3 linked regions of the Arabidopsis thaliana genome follow. The protein of the gene in region 3 interacts with the protein of the main gene of each other region in a pairwise test. Each region holds a gene or a part of one and is shown on either strand. Other genes may lie near its edges.

Region 1 (5,027 bases), 2.1 Mb from region 3:
AGATATTAATTTATGTTTATAATGTAAGAAACTCAAGATTAATTAGTTTCTTAAACATTGTGCTTTTATCTAAAACATTTAATATTTTGAAATAGAGGGAGTACAAATTTTTGTATCAGAACTTCTGCGAGTATGGGTTTCAAAAACCTATCTATGATCGTCGTTAAAACTTTATTACTAGCAAGTACGTTATTAAATTTGACAATTGTTATTGACTAATTAATAACTGGGAAATAGGTTTGTTAGTAGTATTGATTTTTTTGTCGTAATCATTTAAGAGTGGAATACGGTTTTGATAATCAAAATCCAGAAACTAAGCCCATATGAGAATCTGCACGTTAACAATCTATGCATTTAAAAATAAATAAAAATAACACTAAAACATGACTTCAGAATATATAAATAAAGCATTGCCTTCTCAACCAAAGTGTTTAGTAATCTAAACATTGTAAAACATGACATTTGCCCAACCATACATGGTCGGTAGAGAAGGTTTGGTACTGAAGGGTAAAACTCCTAAATCCGAGTTCAATCATATTTGAAAACAAAAATGACATTTATTTAGAAAGTTTGTTAGTTGAGTTTTAACCCAATTGGTTTACAATTTTACATAGTGATTAGAAATATAGGCGGTTTGATTTCGGAAAGTATTCTAAACACCGGATACATACCTTTTTCAAAAAATAAGATTTTTTTTCTATTTTTACTGTTGTCATGTAGATAACCAAAAAAAAACAAAAATCTTCAGAATATATTAATATTTTATTTTCTTCAAAATGTAAACACGGAAACTTGAAATATTTCATTAAAATGCTAAAAACTATTAGCTTATTTATCAAAACACACAAATTAAAAGGTGAAAGCAAACCTATACACAAACGCAAACAAATGTTCGAAACACTAATCAAATTTCACAGTCTCTCCATCGAAAAGACTCCAAAGTTGATCAACGTCAAAAGCCAAGGTGTCCCCCTTTTCTGTTGTCGTCGCTTCAGGAACCAAAATATCTACCTCTTGGCTTTCCTCTAGGAATTTCTCTAACCACATATTATCTCCATCAATCAAATTATTCACTAGTTGGTCTTTCTTCTTATCTTTGTTGTATATGATACTATTGTCACAAACATTATTGATGTTAAGTCCAAGGCATGGAGGATTAACGTCAACTTTTGGTGGGGCATTGAGATGGTTGCAGTCGTTGTTAACTGTGAAGGATCGAGGTCGAGGCTTATAAACATTGTTTTTTAGTGCCGGTGTTGTAGGAATGGGCGTAATGTCTCTCTTTTTCATCTTTATCTTACAACACGGTTCATGTTTCTTACTCAGATGAGTGTTCCAGTAATTCTTGACGTCATTTGCGGTCCGACCAGGTAATCTTCCAGCAATTAAAGACCACCTAACAATTGTAAGAAAATATACATATGTTATTAGTATTAACTTATGACGACTCTCCGAGTTAAGTAGTATCGAGGTAACAATTAATACCTATTCCCTAGAAGCCTATGAAGGCGAAGAAGAAGATCGACTTCATCAGAGCTAAGTTTTCCTCTCTTGATACTTGGCTTCAAATAGTTCAACCATCTTAATCTACAACTTTTCCTGCACCGGTTTAGCCCTACAAAACCAATAATTGATTCTTTGATTATACCTACATACTAAGACTGTTTTTTATTTGTCTCCTTCTATATATTTTATCAGGAAGAATCTATGCACACCAATAAAAATAAAGAACTGTTCCAACACAGAAACACGTGTTCATACAAAATTTTCCCACGAATTCATTTACAAGAAGACAAGCGTGTAAAAATTTGAACGACTTTATAGGAGAAGCTAGCAATACGCAACGTAACTAAAATTAGTATAATTTTTTTTCTTTAATTTTAAGTAAAAATCTTCGTTTAGGTGTAAAACAAATACGAACAGCAAAAGAAATTTTCATGCACAACCTTTAATAGCATGTAAAAACAGCATAAAGAAGTTGTAACAATGATTTGTACTCATTTAAACAAATTTTTTTTTTTTTTTTTAATACCGGGTATTAATCAATTTTCTGAATAGAAAATAGAGAGAACGAAGACTATTGGTAGTGATTATAGATATTCATATTTGTGTGTGTGTGTGTCGGTTAGTGTGTGTGTGTTCGTAAATAACATACCAGCTCTTACAGGAACTTGGTGCCATTTGCCTTCTCCATACTTATTAATGCACTGTCTCAAGAGACTATCTTCTTCAGTAGTCCAAGCACCTTTTCGCAGCCCTTTGGACGAACCCTCCATGGAACAAAGATAGATACGTAAAATATATAAACAAATTGTAAAAGGTATAAGTAAATTGGTCAAGGAAGAGGGTATATATAGTATGGTTTCACAAATGATTGGAGGTCTTATAGAGAGTGTGAGTATGTGAGAAAATTTATAAAAACACGTGACGGAAAAAAGGAAGTGACGTGCATGTTTGATATCCACATTTTATGTATTAGCTGTCGTGCTTAATTTGCTAAGTTATTGTTTGGTTACTGATTTGTCCTAGAGAGAAAAGGTTCATAGGATCTAGCAAGTATCTCCATCCTTTTTCAGTACTAAAAACAAACAAACATGTTTCTTAACAAAATTAGGAGAAAGGACGATAGTAATTAATGTTCGGGTATATATGTTTTCAGAAAGAAAAAATTTGGGTATGATTTATCCGATTACAAGATGGAGAAGTTTCATGCACAAGAAATAGGACAGAATTGAGAAAAAGGGTGGATGAATAACAATAAGCTTCATCCGTGTAGTTTGGATAGAGAAATAGGAGATATAAATTTTAATAAGGCTATTTTTTTATATATTTTTTTCTTACCATTTTACCAGTTTTTAGAATGTGCATCTTCACTAGAAATTTAACAAGCATTTGAAGTCTTTTCTTAAAATTAGATATTCTTTTACAAGAGTTGGGAGTTAAGATAGTGTATAGTATGTTCAGTGTTAAGAGTTAAGATAGTGGTATACAAATTTTCTTAAGTATAGTAGAAATAGTACATGTATTGAATATGATTTATCTCTCTAGTTAGTTTTTTTTTTTTTTTTTGGGACAACTATCTCTATAGTTAGTAGTGCCGATTAGAATCATTGTTGGTGCATCTAGTGAGATCGATGTTGTTGATGGGATTGTGTGGAGAATGATCAAAGATTTGATTATCACGGAGATTAGTTTAAGAAAAGCCATATTGGTTCTTAATGATTTACTTCTGGACAGAAGAGAAAAAGAAACACTTATATATAAAACGCCGGTTTATTATCATTTTCTAAGAAAAGCATTTTTAGTCGTACTTTTTGAGGACTTGCAATTTAAATTTATAAATACTTTTAACAAAATTTGACTAGAATCTGATCTCATTTTTCAGTATCTAAAAGTTAGTATTTGTATATTTCTGCTTTCTTGCATGAAAATTTACGTGTACGATGGAAAACCTAGGCGAAATGATATGCTGTAAAGCTAACTAATTGCTTCTTTTTGACGAAATATAATCGTCATGTAGGAGACTTAAGTGTGAGCCCTCTACTCTTGGTTTCTTGCAAGTTAACGAAGGATTTTTATAGACAATGAGCCCTCTACGCTCTAGCTGTTTTAGTTCATTCTATCGTGCACTATAATTGTGTCGTTAATTATGTGTGGACTCGAACCCAAACCTGGTGTAGAAGTATATATATAACCAGGGGCGGACCCAGCAAAAAAAATTGGTGGGAGCAAATTGTTATAAGGAGGAATCGAACCTGTGAACTCTAGTCTTATTTAGATGAATTTGAACCAATTTGCCTCATTAACGTTGATCCGCCACTGTATATAAACTAGAAAGTTGCACACCGGATGGTAGGCTCGCTCTTAATATAGTTTTATTTCTGTAATTATTTTTTATAATTTATGGTTTTGAATAATTTAATTTGTTTGTTGTACACATAAAATTCAAGGCACGTATTAGATACAAACTTTCTGTATGATCATCGCTAATCATGAGCCGAACAACAAACTTTTAATATTAAACATTCGTGGGTTATGTGTTGGGATATGATGGGCTTTATACCACTACTTCTAATACCCATGGTCGGTTCCCTTGATCCAAAATGGTTCTTCTTTTGTGTGTGTTGGGCTCTTAGGCCTTTCGGCTTTGTAAAGTTTTCTTCCTTATGCAATCAATAGCAAATCTTTAATTTAAAACAAAAAACAAATTGATGTTTTATTTTTGATAAATTTGAAATTTTTATGTGGATATTTTAGTTTATTAAATTATCTAAATGCAGTTAACTTTTTTTGTAGTGTTTCTCGTTTATTAAAATAAAATAACTATAATTTTTGATTTCAAAAAATTATTAATATTTTTAAGAGAAAATTAATAGTGAAAATATTTTTAATCTAATGGTTAACTAAGAGTTCATTAATACTTGTACATCATGTTTGGGTTTCGAATCCCAGAAAACGCAATGCAAAACCGTCTTTAGAAAATCTGAGTGTTGCAGGGAAAGCTTTATCGTGGAATCGTTGTCCGTGAAATTGTTCATCATTATTTTTTAACTCTTAAAAACAAGACAACTATGATAAAGTAAATGCATACAATGCTTAAAAATATAACACTTTTTATTTATTAATCAGGTTATTAATCCTACTTTTTTTGGGGAAAAATATTTTTTTTTAAATAAAAGTTTTATTCCATATGTTATATATTATACTAATAAACTTATAAATCAATGGTAATTTTTTGAAATAAAGAATATTCATAATAATGAGTTTACAGTATAAAAAATAATTGGATAATGATGTCATTAGTCATATTCTGGAATGTAGAGGTTATAAAACCTTGAAAAAGAAAATCAGATTCGAAAATGTTTGGAGAAAAGTCAATTACCATTTTTTTTATTTCATTGCTTATGGGACCTATCACCTATGAGGAGAAAAAAGTAGAGCAAAAGAGGAAAGACAAAGACGTGGCACCAACGTGTGTGAGTTTCAGCGTCACGTCCGTGTGACTCGTTACGAGATTAAGTCATTAT
Region 2 (4,354 bases), about 21 Mb from region 3:
GCTTTAATGGGCCTACAGTTTGTATTAAACCGGCCTTTCCCGTGCACTATATATCAAAATCGAGTTTGGTGTTTCATCATTTAATGTTTATGTTTTGTGGTTTGATCAATTCCCAAGAAATGTCTGTCCATACCGTACTAAGTACTACCAGTATAAATAGATGGTAGAGGAGATGGGCATTGGGAAGCAGCAGCAAAACAGTGGTCCTCATCTTCTTCATCACGACAACAAAGAGCCTTTAGGTTCTTAAAACTCTCTCTCTGCTTTTCCTCTTTAACCATATACTCTTCTGTGTCAGTGTTAGTTTCTCTCTCTAGCGATTTATGTTATTCAGGCTCCATTTTCATGTTTCCTGCTTCATTACTCATTAGGACTGGAACCCATTTCTACTCCGTACTTGATGGGTTTCTGACTTGTCTCCGTGTGGCTTCTTGTCACTACACTTTTGGCCTTTTCTTGACTCTTTTTTTTTTCTTTTGACATTTTCGCTCTTGTTACATAAGTCGTTACCATGACTAAACTCCATCAATCCTAATCTAATCCAAGGTTTATCACTACATGAAACTAATATAATAAAACTCTTTGGATTTGTATATTGTTTCTGAAAATATCACATAAACATTTAGCAGCACATACTGTTTCACATTTTAATTCTAAAATTGAATTATTATCATCCATGAGGCATGTATTGAATAAGTATGTTTTAGTTACTGATTTTTAAATTACTGAATAAGTATGTTCTATTACCTTCACAAACCATAACCAGAGACGAAAAGGAAGCGAGTGATTTATATGTCTTTATCACGTTATTCAGACAACACAAAAACTGGTCTTGCAAAGAAAATCTCCACGGCTACATCAAACTCTTTAAAAGAACTACAATTAACCAGAGATTTAAAGCTTTTGATCATAGTTCATTCTACTTCGATGCAAATGTAGAGTTTATGACTTCAAGCCAGACTTGAACGAAAACCTTGATAATGAGATCATGATACTCCTTGGGATTCAAGGTAAGGTAACATACTAGAAGATCCTCCATGTCGTTAGAGGTTCTGATGTTGTTCTCTGCTATCATCTCCACCATTGATTCTCTGAAATCCTTGCTCGGATCGATAGAACTCTTGATTACTGCAAAACTGTCAAGAATTTGTTTGTTCTGTGATCTTGATTTGCTTCTACGAGGCGAGACTTGAATTCTAGGAGATCTCGCTCTGAGCTTTATCCTTGGAGATTTAGCTGATGATCTTCTTCCACTAGAAACTAATGTTTTCTGATGTTTCTTCTTGGTTCGACATGCATCTTCCTCTTCATCTTCTTTCTCTTTACTGACCTTCACAGAGAGATGATGAGGTATATGTGTTTCCTTGGTTCGGTTACTTGCACGACAGGCTTTCTCCGTTGAATCAAACTTCGTGATCTCTTTGAAAGTTTTCTTCTTGAAATCTCTATTATTCATGTCGATGATAATATCATCTTCAGAAGAAATGACTTTCAAGTTGGAAGAGGCAGAGAGAGAATCATGGCTTTGATGAAATGTTTTGTTAAAACCTGCAGATACAATAGAAGAGGAAGGAGGAGAAGGCTTGTAAACAGTCTTTCTTTTGCTCTGTATGTTGTGAAGAGAGTTTCTTGGTGAAATTTGAAGGATCCTAGATTCAAAGGATGTGCGTGAGCGTGACCTATTGAAGAAGTAAGAAGTTGAAGAGTAAGGAAGAGACTTTGACTCAGAGGAAGGTTTTCTCTTCTTGGTAGTGTTTATGGAGTAAAGAGGAAGAGAATGCTTTTTTCTAGGTTTTGTCATGTTCTTGAGCTTGTGGAACCATTCACTTGGGCTCATAACTGACAATCTTAACTTATAGTTCCTCATCTCTAATTTCAAAAAATAAGTGATCTTCTCAGATAAAAGAGAGAAAAAAAATATGTATAGTTTGCAGAGTTTCTATGTGACAAATAAAAGAGAGAAGAAAGTGTAGAATTGGGATGTAAAAGGGACAAGACGGAACAAAATTGGGATCCACTTCATAGAATGTCTTTGTTTGTACCAAACTCATTCCGGCTTCTCTCCCTAACCGAATAACCAAGTTAAACCAAATCAAATCAAATTTAAATAAAATATCCTATCTAAACCGGTGTAATCGAAATAATTGAGGTGTACGTAGATGAGATTGAGAATTAAAAGGTTTTATTAGACTTGAAAATTGAGCAACAAAGTGTCCTCAAAAATTGTCTGTCGGTAGTAGGTCGATTGGTGGGTATCAATTAGACTAAATAGAATATTTCTGGTAAATTGCTTCCAAAACATAATTCGGCGAACGTGACAAAGGGTTTCAACAAAAGAGGTTAAACAAGATTTCAGGTTCATGTCCAATCTCTTAATATAGCCATAGTCATAGTATATAACAATAATGGTGTAGAAGAAACTGTAGAGAATAATAAAAGACATATTTGCATAAAACTCGGCGTGTCGTCTCCTTTTCACCAATTAGCTTGTGGTCTCCCTACCTCACACGTGTGTGTTTGACCAAAGCTTTTTTTTTTTGGGTCAACGACTCATATTTGAAGCTAGGGTTCGACAAACGAGCGGGGTCAGTCACAACCCTAACGACTACTACTGATCCCAGTAAACACCGATATATTTACCCACTCCTCCTACTCATAATGTGACAATATCTAGGTCAGATTATAGCTTAAAATTAAATTTGCAAAAAACATTCAAATTAAGGCTCAAGTTCATGGGACTCCACCATCACGACTTCGTGTCAAAGGAAAAGACGTGAAACCCACGTAACTCGAACCACCCTCCCAAACCTACACATTATACCACAACAACAACAACAAAGAATAAATCAGCTTCGGAAGGATCGAGAATGAGACTGAAGTCAAGTTTGATTAGCTTGAAATCAAAGCTTTCAAAATCATGCAACAGATTCATCTCCTTCTTCCATGCTCGTTTTCGCAATGTCAATACCACACAATCTTCATCATCTTCTTTGTTGTCTCGTCTCTGTTTTCTCAATACTAATAAGGAGCAGAGGATGAGCCAGATCAGACCCAGAAATTCCCCGTGTAACAACAATTTCTTTTGTAACTATTGTCGATTTTATAGAGTACCTTTGATCTAAATTTTATTCTACAAATATGCCACTGCAGCTAGTCTGATCGATGATTCCAAGCTTCTGCATTCAAGAAAGATGTTTCCTTTGGCTATGACGCAAAGGAACAAGAAAGCGAGGACGAGTCAAAGACATATGTTAAAGGAAGATGGTGTGAAAGAGGCTTGCAGAAGATTCGAGAACTATATGATCCATATGTTCGTTGAAGATGGGAAAATAGATGACTTGATGGACATGGAAGAGCTTCTCTATTATTGGAAGAATCTTAATAGTCCAATCTTCATTGATCTTGTGACTAGATTCTATGGAGAGCTCTGCACTGACCTGTTTCCAAGCGACCATGACGATTAAAGATCATTGAAATGGGTTTTATAATATATGCATGATAACACAGAGCATTGGATACAGAGTAGCTTTCTCTGTGTTCTGTTTTTTTTTTGTAAGTTGTACAACTTCAAGTGACAGGAACTTGATTTTACTACATTAAATCACGGAAATAAAAGATAATAAGAAAAGATTATTAAAGGATGGTACATTTCACATTTCTATTTACCAAGATTTCCGGTAAACCCCAGAATTCAAAAGATGAGAAATCTCAAGGTTTGGTTGCTTCTTCCCTCACCAATGGTAGTAGGCATTATTTCTCCGGAAAATAATCAAGGGGGAGCCTCGTCGTCTTCATAGGTATTATGTGGACGTGGAATCTTAGAATCAGGGGAGTCAATGAAAAGCGAAACCATGTATGTGGGACCTGTTTCAGAAACAACTAAGACTTGAGAAAGAGACTGACTCCACTCTCCAGTGGTTTCAAGGAAATCTCGAGGGACCTCTGATAGTACGCCAACGGCAGTGATGGTGATAGGGCCAGTGTAGTTAAACTTCCTCAAATTACGTTTTATAGACGGACCTACCCGAAGAGCATCATAGCCATCCGGAACCGGACACCCCTTTATCTCCCAATAGACCGATATTGTGGCCACAGCTGCCTCCCTCCATCATTCAAGGCCTTAAAGGTAAGAAAAGAAAAAAACAAATTCAGAATATATATATATATATAAGTTGTAGGCTATCTATGCAATTAGTCGATGAATTTGCAAAGAAACATGAAGAGATAAGGAGCAGAGAAATTTACCTGAGAGATAAGCAGAGTCGGTTCGGTTTCGAAATCCCTGATTGAAAGATAAAATTAAATATCAACCCCGCAAATATATAGGGTTGAGAATGGGCTTCGCTTTAATGGG
Region 3 (6,913 bases):
CCGTTAACGAATCGGTAACCCTTTAAACATAGTATCATTTCAATAAATATACAGATACATCTCAATTACAAATTAATGTAGTGATTTATATCATATTCATATGTACATAATTCCACCGATTTTTGGTACTAAATATTGTAATTGCAAAGTTTCTATATATATTGTAATTGATTTGACATCGAAACTAATGAGGTTTAAACCAAAGATCTGGATCTATACAACATTTGATATATTAAGCATATAAAACTCCAAATGTACAAATCCCCCTGCCCTTAAATACCATACACGTTATCGAAAATATATACGTATGTCACTAACATTCATTTATTAAGCAGTCAGTCCAACTTCTTTTGTCAAATTAATTAGTAGTTTAATGTTATAGTAATCGGGGGTTACCATAAGGCATAAAGTAATGTCTTTACTTTTATATATATATATATAAACAGATCGGATCTTCTGTCTGAATCGTAGTGGACAAATGATGGCGGCATGTGGTGACTTTTCTAAGATAGTAAGATCCCAAGTTCTCAATCTCAAGAGCTATTTTTTCTTTTTTAATGAATACATCATATATCTATTTCTCGGTCTAGTTGTGTTTGTAAACTCGTTTGAAAATATTAAGTTACACAAATCTTGGTATCAAATAAAGAACTAGAAAACTATACGTTAATTAGTTTTTGAGAATACCAATAATCTAAACTGGAATTAAACTAATCCATTTTTATGGACGATTTCTTTCATTGATCGGTCCAAAGATATTATGATATGGCTTATATTTTATAAAACACTGCCTTTTTTGTCGGCATCATTACTTTATATTTCCAAATGATGGTCTAGTCATCCACGGAAAACACGTTACAAAATCAGTGTTCTTACCAAAAAGATAAATTTGAATGCACAATACAAACAAAATGAATTACAATCTAGTAACAACCAGTAATCACGCAACGCACAAATCATATAGTAGTCGGTGGATCTAATAAGCTAAGTAAGTACATGATATTAATGATCACACCTCGTTATTATCAGTAACATGAATTACGTATGTATCATGCATGTCTTAGCAGTGTAATTAGTATGAATATATGTAGAGGTAGTAACTAATATAGTAAGAAGAGATTAGTGTTTGCGCTTGGACTTCAAGGAAGTGAGGGAGTGAGAGTTGTTGTGCCAATTCCTCTTGCGTTGGTTAATGAACCAATTGTTGATTTGCTTCAACTGCAATCCTGTCTCCTCCACCAATTTTGCCTTGTCATCTTCCTGTTCAAGACACATATTTTTTTACATTATAAATTTGTTGTTGTTAATGACATTTTAGGAAAGAAAACAAAAACAATCAGTTTCAGTTTCAACGAAGAGAGGCCAATGCATGTGCAGATCTGATAGCGTCAAAGGCTATTTCTTTTCCACTATAGCATGCAACTTTAGACTGTAGTCCACCTTTTTGGCTTGTGCCAAATATTGAACGGGAGAGAGATGTATAGTGTTTTTGAGTATTAGTAACAAATTCAGTATGTTTGAAGAATAGAAAAAAAATGCATGTTGTGACTTTGAGTGTAACCAAAATGGGTCTTGATTGTTTCTTTGCATTTACATATCTATCTTCATTTGTTGTTTCATGTTATAATGATTATCATATTATTTCATGAAAACGTAAACCCAAACAAACAATTAGACGGAAACTATATTTGTTGTTCGTAAAATATAGAGAGTACTCACCGTAGGGTAAGGCCATTTGCAATGTTGTTGCCACCAATTTTTCAAGACAGTAGTTGTGTCTCCTGGCAATTTCCCAGCCCTTCTCTTCCTCATTATCTCTTCTCTTACATCTTCGATTCTCGATTTAAAACCCTTATCCGAAAAATAAACAAACGTCATAACAAGAAAATAAATAGTAAAATAACTGTATTACTATTGTGAATCATAACATATTAGTTAATTATACCTGTTTGAGTTCTAGTTTGAGTTCTTGTCTGACTCTTTCCATAAGGGATCTTTCCGATTCAGTCGGTAGCAACGGACCAAATCCCGTCATATCGTGGCCGCCGCTAAAATCAACGCCGGAATTATCTGACGAGAAATCCATCGGAAGATCATCCTCATCCTCCGACATAGTCGCACCCGACCCTTCTCCTAAAGTTGCTCCTACAAGAATACAGAACGTTTTAAACGAAATGTTACTCCAACAGTCAAACTACAAGATTTAGACGTCAAGCCCAAGCCCAAACTTAGGCTCAAGCCTGATATGCCCTTACGCATACAATAATCCTAATCAATACATCCCACGCTTTACGTGGTCATCAGTGCAAAAATAAATATTTTTAATAATTTCGTATAATTAAGAAATTTCATCTTTAGACTAATCATATAATATAACTATATAAGCACAAATAAAATCTCTATTTCTTATTGTGTGGGCATATAATATACTCTTCCTGATCATCTTCCAACACCTTACATTTAATATGTTTACTAGTTGTTCATATCTGGTATGATCAGCAAGAACCTTTAGATATACCTAACTCTATTATTTGTTTTAACTATCGCTAATTTTTAACAGGAATTTTAATTATATATATCTTAAGTACTTTCTGATTCTATAGCTATGTGGTATATATAATAACATGTAATTATCATGAAGTTATGTTTTTTAATTGGGTTATAAAAAATACCATTAAAAAAGTGGAAAAGAAAAGAACCTGTAAGAGAATGAAGGTTGTTCTCAATTTCACGGCAAGCCATAACAGCTTCGACGGCATGAACCCTCACGTGCTGTTGCAGCTGTTCTTTGAAGCTACACAACACCATTACATATTGTGCCTGTTTCCAATTAATTATAATTGTTAAATGTTTTATATATCCTCTCACATTTCATATAATTATTCAATGTGTAAACATTTTCCACATATATGCATACACACATATAAATATGTGCTTCTGGTGTGGTGTGTTTTGAGCGGTTAGATCATTATATAGTCCTATTTTCTACCTAACTTAAATAAATATAAATAAAACCGAATTTTTTTGGAACATTTCACAAGCTAATTCCAAAATTATAGTTGCAATATCAATTCCAACTTTAATGCAATTGCAAATTTTAGGTCGGAGTAGAAAATCAATCGTAACTAACATGATAATATTCAAAGTTTAAATAGAATTTCAATTTAATTACAAAATGACATTTAACATTGACTCACTCTATGTGAAATTTAGCACCTAACTATACAAAAAACCATATCTACATCTATGTGTGTGTATTATACATTTGAACATTCGTGTGAAGATACATAAATTTCCATGAAAGTTGAACAAAACCACTTCTTCACAAAAATCAGGTAAAAAAATACCAATAACTTAAATCATTGGAAAAAAACATAATTTGTTTGAAGTATAACTTCCCACAAGAGGAATTAGTAATTATAAAATTTATAGAAATTGTTGATATATTGACAAAAGGTTTACATCTTCGATCGATAAAACTCCCAACGATCTTGTAAAAAGTAAAACACGAAAATCATTGAAAAAAACATAATTTGTTTGAAACATAATTTCCCAACAGAGATTGGTTAGTAATCATAACTTCATTCAAAGTTAGTCCACTAGAAACCATCAAAAAAAAACTTTCAAATGAAAAAAGATAGAAACAGAACTTGTAAGTAATTTAACCAAACAAGATTATTTTTTAAAATATAACTAATAAATTTATATTCAAACGTACCAAGAAATTATCGAGCTCGTGACGATCATGATGGTATCCAACGGCCGTGGAAGCGTAAGAACGGAGAAGATGATGAGATTGAGAAAGCTGAGCTTCAATGATCGGAAGTTGATCTATTGGAGTAGCTACTCTTAAACACGCCACGTGTGCGGCTAATAATTGCTCATACATCGGATGTGTCGCTATCTCACCTTTCAACTGTCTATTCTGCTCCGCCACGACCGCGGTGTCTCCGTCTCCGCCTACGGTGGCTCCCATCATACCTAGTGCCGCTTCTTGCATAACCTTGACACAAGACCGGAGAGAGATACTTTTTGTGTCTGATCAAAACCCTAATTCTTGAAGCAGATTGTGTTCGTATGATTAGAAAAAGAGAGAGAGAGAGAATTGTCAGATGAAATCAACCTATATAAAGCTGTCCTGATTTCTTTCCCCTTTAATTGTTTTTCACTCCATTCTTTTCTAAAAATATACATTATTTGTTTATAGATTATTTTGTCTTATTTGTATACAAAATACATTTAAAACAATGTTTGTTATACACGGGTCTGGTCCGGCCATACCATATATTATTTTTACATAGATCAAATTATATTGAAAGTATTATTTTTGTATTGTTAATCGAAAGACTGAAAACTAGAATTACTAATTTTCATCAGATATGTGAATACAAACACACGGACGTTGATTGTTTTATACGGTGATTGTTATCTTTACAATTAATCTGAATTACTTTAGTCTAGAAAACTGCTACTATATATATGTTTGATTCCACAATATGCTGATATATACCTTGACGTAAAGTTATGAAAAAAGTGCACGTTAACAACGTGCTTTACAAAAATCATAAATACGTGTATATGTATGTATATAAAATGTAAACTTAAAATAAAAATTAAAAACACTTTTATTTTCCTTCTCGTGACAATGATTTAAGACCTAATAAGTGATCAACAACTTGAACTTAAAAATTAGTTGAAATTTTGAAAAAGAATGAGGAAAATAAAATATCTTCCCACCTTTAACGACAGGACCGGTAGACACACCTAATCCTCTAACGCCCACTTAACAAATAGTATTAACACCTAATTGATAATACTATTTAATAGTATAGAAATATAGTATATTTGTTTTCTTCTTTTGGTAAAGAACAAATATAATTAGTTATTCTTTTAAAATATTAAATACTCAATTACGTGATACAGTTAAATTTTTTTGGACAAAATGTGATACAGCTTTGATGCACCATTTCTTAGTCATATAACCTTAAAACAGTAACACTCTGATAATTTAATTGCAGTATTATTTGATAGATAGAAAAATGCTTTCATATTTTTCCTAGTTTGATATGAAGTTAATATAGCACACAAACAATAGTTTGATATATGAACTTTAATATATACTAATAGTTTTTAGCTAGAATTTCAGAAATATCCATAAAACTGAAAAAAAAAAAATTGATGTGTTGTGAAACGTTGTTAAGTCCGGATACTCTTGTGGCATGGTTTTTTGTAACGTCATGTAATAGTTCCGTTCAGAATTACAAATCTTCTGAACATACATGTTGGACGTTAAAAAAATTATTTTTCCACTTCATCGTTTAAAAAAATATATTCTTAAATCTTCTGGTTTTCCTCCGGCTTGGCATATTGGAGCCAATAGCCATCCAAGTAGTCTTAAGTTTTTGCAAAAAAAAAACTGCAATTAATTACAAAAACTAAAATAATATTTCATCATAACAATGGAATCCTTGGTCGTTGTAATTGCATATGTTGCATGTAGTTTATATCGTAATAGGATTAGATCAAATATTTTTAATAATGCCAATAATACATGACACAAAAAAAACTAAAATAATAGCACATAATATATTCTATAAACAAAAATAAAAAATACAAATTAAAAGAGGATTTTGCATATTATTAAATGAAAAAGAGAATAATGCACGCCTTCACCAATATGGAAAAACTACTTTCCATTTCTCCCTTTTTATGTAGTTATGTACAAATTCCCTTTTGTTTTACGCAATGACATCAAAAATATTCGTTCGTATAGAAAAATGAAAGAAACAAAATAAAGAGGGACAAAGACAGAGTTGGTCGAACAAAGAAAAGAGGGACAGAATTGTCGTTCTCTTAAGCCTAAGATTTAAGACATCTCACATCTGAAACAATTTGTGGTCCTATGAAAACGACTTCTCAACTTATAATAATGCTTTTGACACAAAAAAAAACTTATAATAATGCGGCCATTAATCAGAGAACAATGAGATACTATTAGTGACACGATACTAAGTTTTAGTGATTTAATGTACGGGCCATATAATATTGTGAGTTTGGTGGACCTAAAAATAATTCTCATTGGGCACTTCATTAAGGTCTCAAAGCCTAAACACTTGTACACATGGGTTCGTAATTGTTTCCGTGTGTGATATTACTAGCATAAAACGTTTCCTAGCTATGTGACTCCTCAAAAAAAAAAAAAAACTACCATTTGATTAGAGGTAGATTTTCATCAAACATATTGTATTCTTATGAAGACGCCAGACGGCATATTTCATCAAATTATAATTCTTGATGCCTCGTTAATTAACGTGTAGGCAACGATCATGTTGTTTTTTTTGGTGTAAAAAATGACCATGTTTTATTGTTTATCAATGACTTTGAATGTAACTTTGCTCATTTGATTTTCTTTAATAGTTACTACTTACTACTAGGCCACTAGCGGTGTTACCTTGTAAATTCATCACCGTGAAAGAAAGAAAAAATCATCACCATACGTACCTTACTTGTCACCAACGAAATATATATATATGTCCCAAAACCCCCAACAACATGCATTTTAACATAAATTAAAACCGTTTTTACAAAAGAAAAAAAAAAGAAAACAATCCACAAAAACGGAATCACACGTAAATATAATTAATTAATTAGGAACAAACTCATATTCCATGAAACCTGGAGAAGTCCTTGTAGCAGAAGCAACGAAAGCCCTAGAATGCCCCACCATTGACACTACTCTAAAAGCTTCTTCTTCATAAGCTTTTCTCTCCATTTCTTCCCTTTTTGCCCTTCTTCTCCTTTTCTTTGCCGTCACTACAGCAGCCGCCACCACCAGCCCTAAAAGCACCACCCCCACCGTCACAGACCCAACAAGCCCTCCAACAACCTTCCTCCACCGTCCGATCTTCTCCTT

The links. Proteins that work in one complex are often made in the same cells at the same time.
Region 1: the proteins of KNAT7 (region 3) and PAP1 interact in a two-hybrid assay, tested with the Arabidopsis thaliana proteins (2 studies listed by BioGRID, with this or other methods).
Region 2: the proteins of KNAT7 (region 3) and OFP4 interact in a two-hybrid assay, tested with the Arabidopsis thaliana proteins (2 studies listed by BioGRID, with this or other methods).

What each region holds. Positions count from the first base shown.
Region 1 is NC_003070.9:21,232,814-21,237,840, forward strand, and holds PAP1 (production of anthocyanin pigment 1), read right to left. Parts: upstream 2,480-5,027; 5' UTR 2,277-2,479; coding exon 2,156-2,276; intron 1,616-2,155; coding exon 1,486-1,615; intron 1,397-1,485; coding exon 901-1,396; 3' UTR 742-900; downstream 1-741.
Region 2 is NC_003070.9:2,123,935-2,128,288, forward strand, and holds OFP4 (ovate family protein 4), read right to left. Parts: upstream 1,969-4,354; 5' UTR 1,868-1,968; coding exon 920-1,867; 3' UTR 742-919; downstream 1-741. Other genes in the region: AT1G06923 (transcription repressor OFP17-like protein), read left to right, coding at 2,868-3,066, 3,151-3,464; AT1G06925 (endonuclease/glycosyl hydrolase), read right to left, coding at 3,770-4,103, 4,217-4,282.
Region 3 is NC_003070.9:23,334,555-23,341,467, reverse strand, and holds KNAT7 (homeobox knotted-like protein), read right to left. Parts: upstream 4,302-6,913; 5' UTR 4,001-4,301; coding exon 3,719-4,000; intron 2,821-3,718; coding exon 2,700-2,820; intron 2,146-2,699; coding exon 1,946-2,145; intron 1,852-1,945; coding exon 1,720-1,851; intron 1,261-1,719; coding exon 1,120-1,260; 3' UTR 776-1,119; downstream 1-775. Other genes in the region: AT1G62981 (transmembrane protein, putative (DUF1191)), read right to left, coding at 6,644-6,913. UniProt on the Arabidopsis thaliana protein: May be involved in secondary cell wall biosynthesis.